Linked DNA regions of Neodiprion lecontei. The protein of the gene in region 1 interacts with the protein of each later gene in a pairwise test. Links are inferred from orthologs where the notes say so. Each region holds a gene or a part of one and is shown in the gene's direction. Other genes may lie near its edges. The genes, in order: eukaryotic translation initiation factor 4E transporter and eukaryotic translation initiation factor 4E.

Evidence for each region.
Region 2: the proteins of eukaryotic translation initiation factor 4E transporter (region 1) and eukaryotic translation initiation factor 4E interact in binary tests that used the Homo sapiens proteins (3 or more experiments, as listed by UniProt). The link is inferred for Neodiprion lecontei from reciprocal best matches to the Homo sapiens genes EIF4ENIF1 and EIF4E.

The regions. Positions count from the first base shown.
Region 1 is NC_060261.1:14,470,237-14,475,139, reverse strand, and holds the start of eukaryotic translation initiation factor 4E transporter, read left to right. Parts: upstream 1-1,639; 5' UTR 1,640-1,813; coding exon 1,814-1,994; intron 1,995-4,302; coding exon 4,303-4,400; intron 4,401-4,498; coding exon 4,499-4,572; intron 4,573-4,665; coding exon 4,666-4,903. UniProt on the Homo sapiens protein: EIF4E-binding protein that regulates translation and stability of mRNAs in processing bodies (P-bodies). Plays a key role in P-bodies to coordinate the storage of translationally inactive mRNAs in the cytoplasm and prevent their degradation.
Region 2 is NC_060260.1:30,404,976-30,410,009, reverse strand, and holds eukaryotic translation initiation factor 4E, read left to right. Parts: upstream 1-2,149; 5' UTR 2,150-2,254; coding exon 2,255-2,284; intron 2,285-2,856; coding exon 2,857-3,035; intron 3,036-3,492; coding exon 3,493-3,810; exon of another isoform or gene 3,811-3,894; coding exon 3,895-4,009; 3' UTR 4,010-4,508; downstream 4,509-5,034. Other genes in the region: uncharacterized protein LOC107224388, read right to left, coding at 1,225-1,306, 2,005-2,048. UniProt on the Homo sapiens protein: Acts in the cytoplasm to initiate and regulate protein synthesis and is required in the nucleus for export of a subset of mRNAs from the nucleus to the cytoplasm which promotes processes such as RNA capping, processing and splicing.

The DNA.
Region 1 (4,903 bases):
CGCACTCGCTTGTCCTCCGCTATATGAATTTCGCAATTTTTTTTCTTATGTCAAGGCTTAAGGAAGTTGGTCGGTAAAAAAATTAATGCATTTTATTAATCTTATTATAAGACGGTACGTACATTAAAAATTTATGAAATCGTCTTTTTCAAAATACCAAAATAGATACTGGAATTATGAAAAAAAGTTTAAATATCTATGAAAAGTGTGAGGTTGAAATTAGTAACATTGTAATGAAACATCGGATTGTCCGAAACGTTAATTCATTACAATAACGTTACTAACTTCAAGATCATAAAAAAGTGTGTCAGTGAATTTGTAGAAAATTTAATAGTCCTTTAAATAAAATGAGCCATCATCGAGTGAAATCGAATGAATCTAGTAGATTCGTAACAATTTTGAAGCAATTTGAAACGAAGCATCGATATCTAAGCTCTTGCTTGCAATTCCAGTATTTTCTATTTTTTCATTCTCATAGCGATCTTTCCAGCTTAAGAATATATTAATTTGATCAATACTACATATACGACTACCTCCTAATAAAATTTATAAAAAGTATATGATTTTGACCAACCAACTTTCTTACTTAAGCTGGGTACAATAAGTCGGAAAAGTCGGAGATTCTTTCGTTATCCCGGCGACAAAGCGAAAAACATTTTCTTTCCAAAATTATTCCTTTATCCGCGAACTAAATTCAACCTGGTGATCGCATAAAATATTTGCACACTTCCTAAAACTTATACCCGCCCCGAAGTTTTTACGTCCAACAATCTTTTTTTTTTATTTTTAATTTTTTTTTTTTATTTATTTAGCGAAGTTCAAATTAGTAACGTAATAATCGTAATAAAACACAAAAACAATCTATATTTTGCAGCAGGACAAGGAGTTTGAGAGAAGTTTGCTTTATTACGATTTACTGAATTTTTTAATATTTACATAAAGTTACGAAATAACGATTTTTGACGAAACACACTTCGCTATATTAACGTTACAAACTTTAATCTTACATCCTACTAACGATTGCTCATTCTATGCGGCGCATCCCCTACACTCTGTACTCAATTTCAAGGCTGAAAAACTTATTTTTTGCTCCGAGGGCTGAGTGTACAAGAGAACCAAACCTGTATCTGAATTATACCGTTCTAAGTCAACAATTACAATATACTCAAGGGCGAATTTTGCGCTCTACATGCCTGCAGTTCGAATTGATTTTTGCGCGTCGTTTTTCCAACTGTAGTACATCGCAAGGAAAAATTGAATGTACAAGGCAAACTGCGCAAAAATCATTCTACAAAACCGTGAGCTAATTCTTCAATCCATGAGTAACTAGTATTAGAGGCATATTCTAATTCATCGGATAGACGCCAGAAAAAAAAATTGTATTTAGTTTGTACTGGATTTTACATACATTTCACATACTGGATTACGAATCAGAAATTTAGTCAAAACGGTCTGTCTTCAAGCGTCTCGTACTTTCCGACGACTCTCGAGGATATTGTCCCCAAGTTTGAGCATCCATTTCGGCTACATTGTTCACGTGGTCAGCAAGAAGTCGGGTTTATAGCATGTGTATTGGTGTCCAAATAGTAAACATCGCGGTCGAATTCAAAGGACAACGGTTTAGCAAGTACGGCAGGCAAGAAGCAGTACATGAATTTGTCCGTGGTTGAAAATCGCCAGTTGTCTTTCGAGACGAAATCAGTTAGCGTTGAAAGAGTCGATCGCATCTTCTAATCGTTAAATCCGTATTTCACCCGTTCGATTCAGCTACTTTTGTTTACGTGTTCAAAAATATTGCTTATTCCGTTGCAAAATGAAGCTGGAAAATAACGAAATCAGCGCCGGTTCAACTTATCGATACCGGCGTCCGCGTCGTCGCCCGCTTGTTGGGCCGACGGGTTCGTGTATTCTTGATTCTCTGGTTATCCAGAATCAAGGAGTTCGATGGTCTCGTCGCAACCGTGCTTCCAATCCCGTAAAAAGAGTTACTTTTCGTGAGTATCACTTGGCTATCAGAGTTTCAAATTTTCTTTTTCATTAAGGGGGTACCCTGGTCGATTTCGACGTTGTCGTATATATGCATCTCCAAATATCGAAGTCCACGTATCTCAAACGCAAAAAAGGACATCATCCTTTCAGTTGCACATTTTTCAACTCAATATTTCAGCCTGAATTTTGTGACATGGGGGTTTTTCAGGTTGCTAATTACGAATCTGAAATCAGAATTCAATCATTTCTAAATCCAATATAACGGATGTAAAATCTAATAAAAACTATAAAAATTCGATGATTCTGGTCCAAACTTGTTACTCGAGGATTTTGGTGTTATATATACGTAACAACGATCATTTGATGTTTTAAATAAACTGCGATAAGGCTAGGAAATGGAAATGTTGAGGTGAGACGCTGAGCATCTGTGACTGAAAGGGTTAATCCTTTCCGGTTTCTCTTCTAGTTTTGTTTCATCATCATTACAGTTTTGTTGTAATTCGCTAGGGCAATTTCTCCTTATTGCTAAAGACGAATACGCCTACATTACATTCAAAATGCTTCGTGTACAGGCTTTGCGCGGACAATGTATTATGATTTATTTGCGGATACTAGTTCAGTGTCACGATCGGTGTTGTTTGATCTCAATATTGACATACAACGATACGTACATTGTACATATACCGCGAAAATATGGCGAAGCCGGCAACTCGTCGACCGAGACGAGGTGACTCCGTGTATTGCGGCAACCATGGCGGAATGGCCTTTTCTCACCGCGAAGACAGTGAAGTTAGTAACGTTAATGTAACGATTAATTTTTAGGAAAAATCATTATTTCGCAACTGTAGGATCGTCTCAAATTGACTAAGCTATTTTTAAAAAGCCAAATGTATTCTGATTATGGAAATTAAATTCCTTTAAAGTCGTTTTAAATTTTCAGAACAATAGTTTTAGTTTCAATATTTCGTTACTTTAACGCTACTAACTTCAATCTGATTCATTGCGAGAGTGTCAGGTATCCGCTTTACCGATCCGCTAACTTGCAGACAGCTTTTTAGCCTCAATTATCTCGATCTGGTTGCAATTTGGATGATTTAGAAAGTCCAATTTTCAAGCCCTTGTACGTCAAATGTTTACGAGTTACGATCAATTTTATCACGGTTTCGAATTTTTTGTACTTGTTGGAAAACATTTGATCTCTCCGAATATAAAATACATTTGAAGGCATGAGAAATTCAGGAATTGCCAAAAACAATATATGTTTCCCGACATTTTCAGTCCTGTATATGCGAAGAGGGTAAAAATAAACTGTATTTATTTTTCCGTGTAATATAATGGACGTTTTGTAGTATATCCTGGAATTTTGAGAGTAAACTGAAAATGGGATTATATTTATAATCGATATAAATGTACCAGGGACATATAAGGTGTTTAGAAAATTCAAGATCCTTGGAATATTGACATTTATTTTAACTCGGAACCCATTTTCATCCCACATTAAAAACTTCAGGATACCGTCTAAAATATCTAATTCTTCGATCAAAAGAATGAAAACAATTAATTTCCTAGACTTATTTTTGCATGAAACGGCATAAAAGGGCTCTGCTGCTTTCTTGCGATTGTAATGCATAAGCGTTGGTAACATTTAAATTAAGCGAAATTTTACTCGGTCGGTACAGACTGATTATAGCATCGTCTTAAAGGCTAAAAATTGAACGATTTTCATAATTAATTGTAAGTGTACACTATGAGGTACTGAAGTACAGTCAGAGCTAATATTTTGCCCTCAAAAACTGGCACATATCTTAAATCTGCCAACAGAGAGACTGAGGCAACCCATAGTTTCTGATTCTGGATGTGGGGTTATGTCTCCGGACCCCATCTTTTGCACTCTGGTTTACGTTTTTCGGTAGCAATACTGTCACATATATAATTGGTCTTATCATCATCGTTTATATGGCATCTATGTGACTTACAAAATGACAGCTCATTTATACATTTGTACATGTATCATGCATGCGATGGTTTAACAATAATTTCATAATCATAATAAGTACTAACATTAACCTGAAGTTCAAAAATTCCTCACTCTTATCATTTTTAAGATCCTTGCTGTGAAATATAACTATTCAAATAACTCGTAACTAGATAATTCATTTCACATCATTTATTGTGCGATTTTCCAAACCCAGTAATATGAATTGATAATAATAAGAATTATATCTGTGTTTGTTGCGTATATATGTATAATAAACTGAATTTCATACATTTTAGTTTTTTGAATGATGTTGAAAATTGAAAATATTGCTGCAGGAGATGAAGCGATAATATCGATGTCTGTGGCAGGCGAAGTGACTGATACTTCTATTGTGGAAGTGGGCAGATCTCGACCTCAGTTTCAATATACTCGGGTAAGCGAAAGATGTATTACTATTAATTTTAGGTAATGGTCAGATCTTTCACTAATTCAATTCATGATATAATAATCATTGTGACTTTCCATCCATAGGAGGAACTGATGGAAATGAAGACTCAACCTCTATCCAAGCGTAGGCCAGATTGTTTGGATTCCGCTTATAATAAGTGCGTTTATATTTGTGTATATTTTATTTATTGAAGTTCCATAATTATTTGGTATATTTGTTATATCTAAATTACAATTGTTTTTCCATCCAGTTCGCGAGGCGTTTGGGACCCTGAGCGTTGGCATCTTGATAGAAAGCGAAGTGAAACTCCTCCTGACGATGACAGAAATGGACGCGGGGATCAAGTGATTGAAAATCATAGTAAACGTCGCAGCGGTGATTTTCGGGAACGAATCCGTAAAGAGTCGGATGGCATAGTGCTGAGTCCTCAACGCCGAAATTTTAACTCTGGATGCTTTGTCAATGTAAGCCAGCTGCCAACTCGGCGT
Region 2 (5,034 bases), on another chromosome or scaffold:
ACAGTTGCATTTGAAGTTACTTTCTTCTCAGGCTTATTTAATGAACATTGCTCTTTGTAAGATGCTGAAAAGAAATTTACAGAAAGCAAATGAAAGGAATAAATTGGACATTATGTTGAACAACAATGTTATAATTGTAATCATGTAGTTAGTAATAGGAATTGAAAAGTGTACGGAAGCCGGTCTACGAATGTACCGGAATGTATTCTACAGATGCATCCCCTATGCTTCTAGTTACACAGGTCTGGTTTAAAGAACAGATTGGCACAATTTCTACATCAGATGAAAGCAATGGCAGCAAAAACAAGACTGGCTAAATGTTATGAAAAATATGAGAAATAACAGTGCGATAATTCTTCAGAAGAACAGAGGACCATAATATATTTGGTTTTTTAGCCCTCTGAGGGCAACCATTTTCAGGGGTCCCTTGTTTAGGCAACCCTGTGTTAAGCAGAATTGGTTTTGTTTATAAAAACGGTTTAAATTCATATTTTTCAGCTTGTAAATAGTGAAATGAAATCGTTAGAATGTCTAGCGTACGATGGTAGAGGAACGAATTCGATATGTTTACTTTAGATGACGTAGTAAGATTTAATACAAAATGAGATATAAGGAATTGGCAAAAATAAATGGGTAATGATCCAGGTTGCCTCCAGAGGGTCAATCAGCCCTGTATCACTTGAAGTCAACAAAATACAGTCCAAATGCTAACCTTGCAGAATATTTTTTGTAAAGCCTAGTTCAGATGATCATATGTACATCTTTGCTTCGACAATTACCTTGAAGTGGGAACAAATTATAAGGAACAAAATAAAACAAAGATAAAATGTTAATCCAACAAATGGTAGAGTAAGTTCAATAAATTTTCTAAAGCTAAATTATTGAAATGGTTTTTGAGCAATTCCTTAATCATATGTTTGATTTTTTGTCTCATTTTACAGTAAAAGTGAAAGTAATGCGTGAAAGCTGCATTAGACAAGTAATGAAATACTGCACAAAATACAAGCTTTATAATACATATCACTGCATACTTTACACACAAGAAGTGTGTAACTTTGATAATGTTTCTAGCATTCGTACAGTATTGGTTAATGTTAGTGACAACTTGGCAGAAGAAAATTGTGAATTAGAAACGATGTAATGTAAACTGGGAAGAATTATCGAAATAAAAACAGGAGCGTTTGTTATCGTTCAAGCAGCTTAATTGTTATGTGGTTTGTTTACATTTTCTGGTTGGCTGTTTGGATATATCAAGTGAGGATGTTCTTTTTGATGTCCAGTCTTACTCCGTTGATTTGTAGTCTTTCTATTAAACATAATATGATCATCCGAACCTGCTTAAAAAGAGATAATATCGAAAAATAGGTCAATTTTGATGTAACTTCAGGAACAAGCCTAGAAGCTGAGAGTAGTTTTATGACCTTTGTGGCAAAATTGTACGGTGGATTAAAACGTGCAATAGCTGTTTACATTACAAAAATTTGACAAGAAAATTAATCACGACAAATTTAGAGGCATGTTTCATTCAAAAAAATGTCTAAAGACTAATTACACTGTCTTTACCAACCAACGAGCTAACCCCAAATTACAACACGCCTACAAACCATCGATTTTCTAACACGAGATTCAAGAAGAATTGAGGAAAGGGATCCATAGAATAATAACATCGAATATTCACCGCATGCTTCATATTGATCACGATTTCACGGTTCACTGTTTACATGGAATATGTGAGTTGCAAAAAAAAAATAAATATGTTCACTACAAATCACGCGAAATTAGTAGCGTTCCGTGTGGTTGCTGCGAGTTTCACGCTCGCAGAGATGTCGCTGCGGACGAGGTTTTGCGTAGGTGAAAAAAAAAAAAAAAGAAAGACATATAAATAGGGGAAAACAAAAAATACGCCGTCTTTCAATTACAAAACAAAGTTCGTAATTTTCGTGATTATAAAAATAATCAGTGTATTATTGAAAATTTCTCGCTTCATGAAGTAATTACATCTACCTCTGGAAAAGATCCACAAAAAAAATCTGAAGGAACTCAATCATCACGATCGCCGAGGCATCTCTATTTCTTTCTTGTCTGTGTTTGGTCTGTGTCACTGCGTGTTGGTCTTCCCGTTTGCCTCTGCACCGGCTAGCTCGTTTTTCGAAACAATTCCTCGCCGAGCCCGAGTGACTAGTTACGCAAACTCTTACCGACAGATGCCCTTAGTTGTCATTTGCTGAAAATCCTGGCGGTCGACTCCTGTGACATGGCTGCAAATAATTCGGCAGAAATCGAGGTATACTTGTAAAATTTCGTTGAATTATCGTATTTTCTTAACCGAAACTTAACTCGCTTTCCAACGAATATCATTAGTCCGGTATTTTAACCAAAAAAGGTCCGGTTTCACGCATCAGCATGGTTGCTTCCTCGTGCTCCCCGCCGCCACCCTGACCCTCGTCCTTTTGCTGATAGGCATAACCTACTACTATCGCTTCGTTAGATCATTCATTTCTCTGCGTTAACCAATTCTCTTTCTCGTCTTACCGTAAAACGAATTAAAATGATACCAATCATTTTTGTTCGTTCTCCTTGTGTAGATTTCTCGACAACTATTCATTTCAATTCGCGCGATAGTTGATGGTACTTATCATTCATCACTCACGCTTTGGACAACTTCACTCCATACAAAATCTATCAAAGTACTCGTGGTTTCACACGTTCAGAGCTCCGTTCGCTTGAATATGCGGAAATCGCAGTGGTATATGTAGTTTGAATTTACATTTAATTATGTTTGCAGAGTCTGTAGAAAATATTTACCGGCAGTATATGAATGTTGTACAGTAAGCAGAGGTGTATTTATCATTGCAGGATACAGAGAAGAAGGACCAAGAAGTAGCAAATTTGGAAGAATTTCCACCAGAGCTTCTTATCAAGCATCCGTTGCAAAATACTTGGACACTTTGGTACTATGAGAATGATCGCAGTAAGACATGGGAACAAAATCAGCGTGAAATCACAAGTTTCGACACAGCAGAAGATTTTTGGAGGTATTTTTTATAGAAATTTAGTTTTGACGGTCCTTCCACTTTAATATTCCTTCTATCATTTTTGCAAAGTTGAAAAATTACCCTGAATCATTTGTTTAAAAAGTTAAACTCTCAATTAATCAATCAGTAGTACCAAATTCATGTACTGTCAAGTTTTCGTTAAAATTTTTCAATTCCAAAGTAGTATTTACTTCATGAGTAAAGAGAATGGAATGTATATCGCTTTGCTCTCTATGCTTAAATGATGTCAAGTTAGTTTTACGTGCTATACTTTCACATGGTCGTGATCCACTTTCTTCACATTGTATTACATCGAAACATTTACACTTGACCATCCTGTTTTTGAAAAAGTTAACAGTCTCAAGTATCCTGCATATTTCAGCTGTATTATCAAATGTTTTATTTAGTTTCTACCTGTATATTTACACTTCATCTTATGATTAAATTCTTTTTCTAGCTTGTACAATCACATAAAGTTGGCCTCAGAGCTGCGGCAAGGCTGTGACTACAGTATGTTCAAGCAGGGTATTCGGCCAATGTGGGAAGATGATGCAAATAAAAAAGGAGGCAGGTGGCTCATTAGCTTGGACAAAAAGCAAAGAGGAAGTGATTTAGACCGTTTTTGGCTTGAAGTTCTTCTCTGTATGATTGGTGAAGCATTTAACGAGTTCTCTGATGATGTATGTGGAGCTGTGGTCAACGTAAGACCAAAAGGTGACAAAATTGGTGTATGGACAGCAGATGCAAACAGGGGTCAAAGCGTATTGGAAATCGGGTAAGATATTTTTCTAATTAAACCAGAATTGGAAACTGCAGTTTTCCTTAATGTGCCGTATAACCTTTAATATTCTTATTGCAGGCGCAAACTAAAGGAAAGACTGCGGATTGCACCAAGGGTGCAAATAGGCTACCAAATTCATAAGGACACCATGGCTAAAGCAGGAAGCGTCACGAAGAACACTTATTCGGTTTAACCACAGCCCTTTTCTATTATTATTATACATCATCCTCATATTTCCTGACCCCAACCATTCGAATAACAAATAATTGCAGAGCAAATTATCTAATAGATATATTTATGGATCATCTGAATTCAACTGTCTGTATTCAGGAGAGGAATATACACATGTACAGAACTAGTGAATGGCTGAGCAAAGAAATAAGCAGTCCCTTCCCCTATTGCGCCCTCCAAAAATTATGTTGACGTAATCATGTTTCCTCTCATAATACGCGACTGAGTGATGGTTAATAAATGAGTTATTATATAACTAAATGCAAGATTTGTTAGTATAAAATTTTACATTGATATATATAACTTGTTCTCACAGTTATTCACCCAGAGGACATTAGCGCAGGCTGCTGTATTTTTTTTCCCTATATATATAATTTTTCTTTTATAAGAATATGTGAAAGAATCTGTACACAAAGGTATAGTCAAGTCATATGTGGAATAAAGTTATTCTTTTCTCACAATCCTTTGTTATATACCCTCCCTGATGTATAATAGGATTCGTGAAATAATTATCTAATTACTACCTAAAATTAGTGGTTTAGAAATGTTCGAATCAAAAGAATTTAACAGGAATCTTCCACTCAGAACTGAAATACATAAATAACCGAAATGCAGCAGCCAGCAAAAGCAAAATAATTTCTCAGTCCATTACTAGTTTAGTTGCATTTTCACTTCCATTTATACTATACGAATCTGCTTGAAACTGGTAACGATAGAGAATATATCTTTATTTTTCAGTGACCTATTATGTTATGAAAATTGTCAGCGTATGTAATACAGCATGCCAATTATAAATGTTGCCTTGTCAATTTATTTACTGTTTACTTCCCTGTTAAAACTGTTACATTATACTTCATTTTCTGTTACCTGCTTCTGAATTTGTCACTATGCGAATATACTATGTATTCGGACGTGAAACTAAAAATATACGCAGATAAATATTCAACAATTTGTTGATAATAAACGTGTGAAAAAAAAAAGCACAGT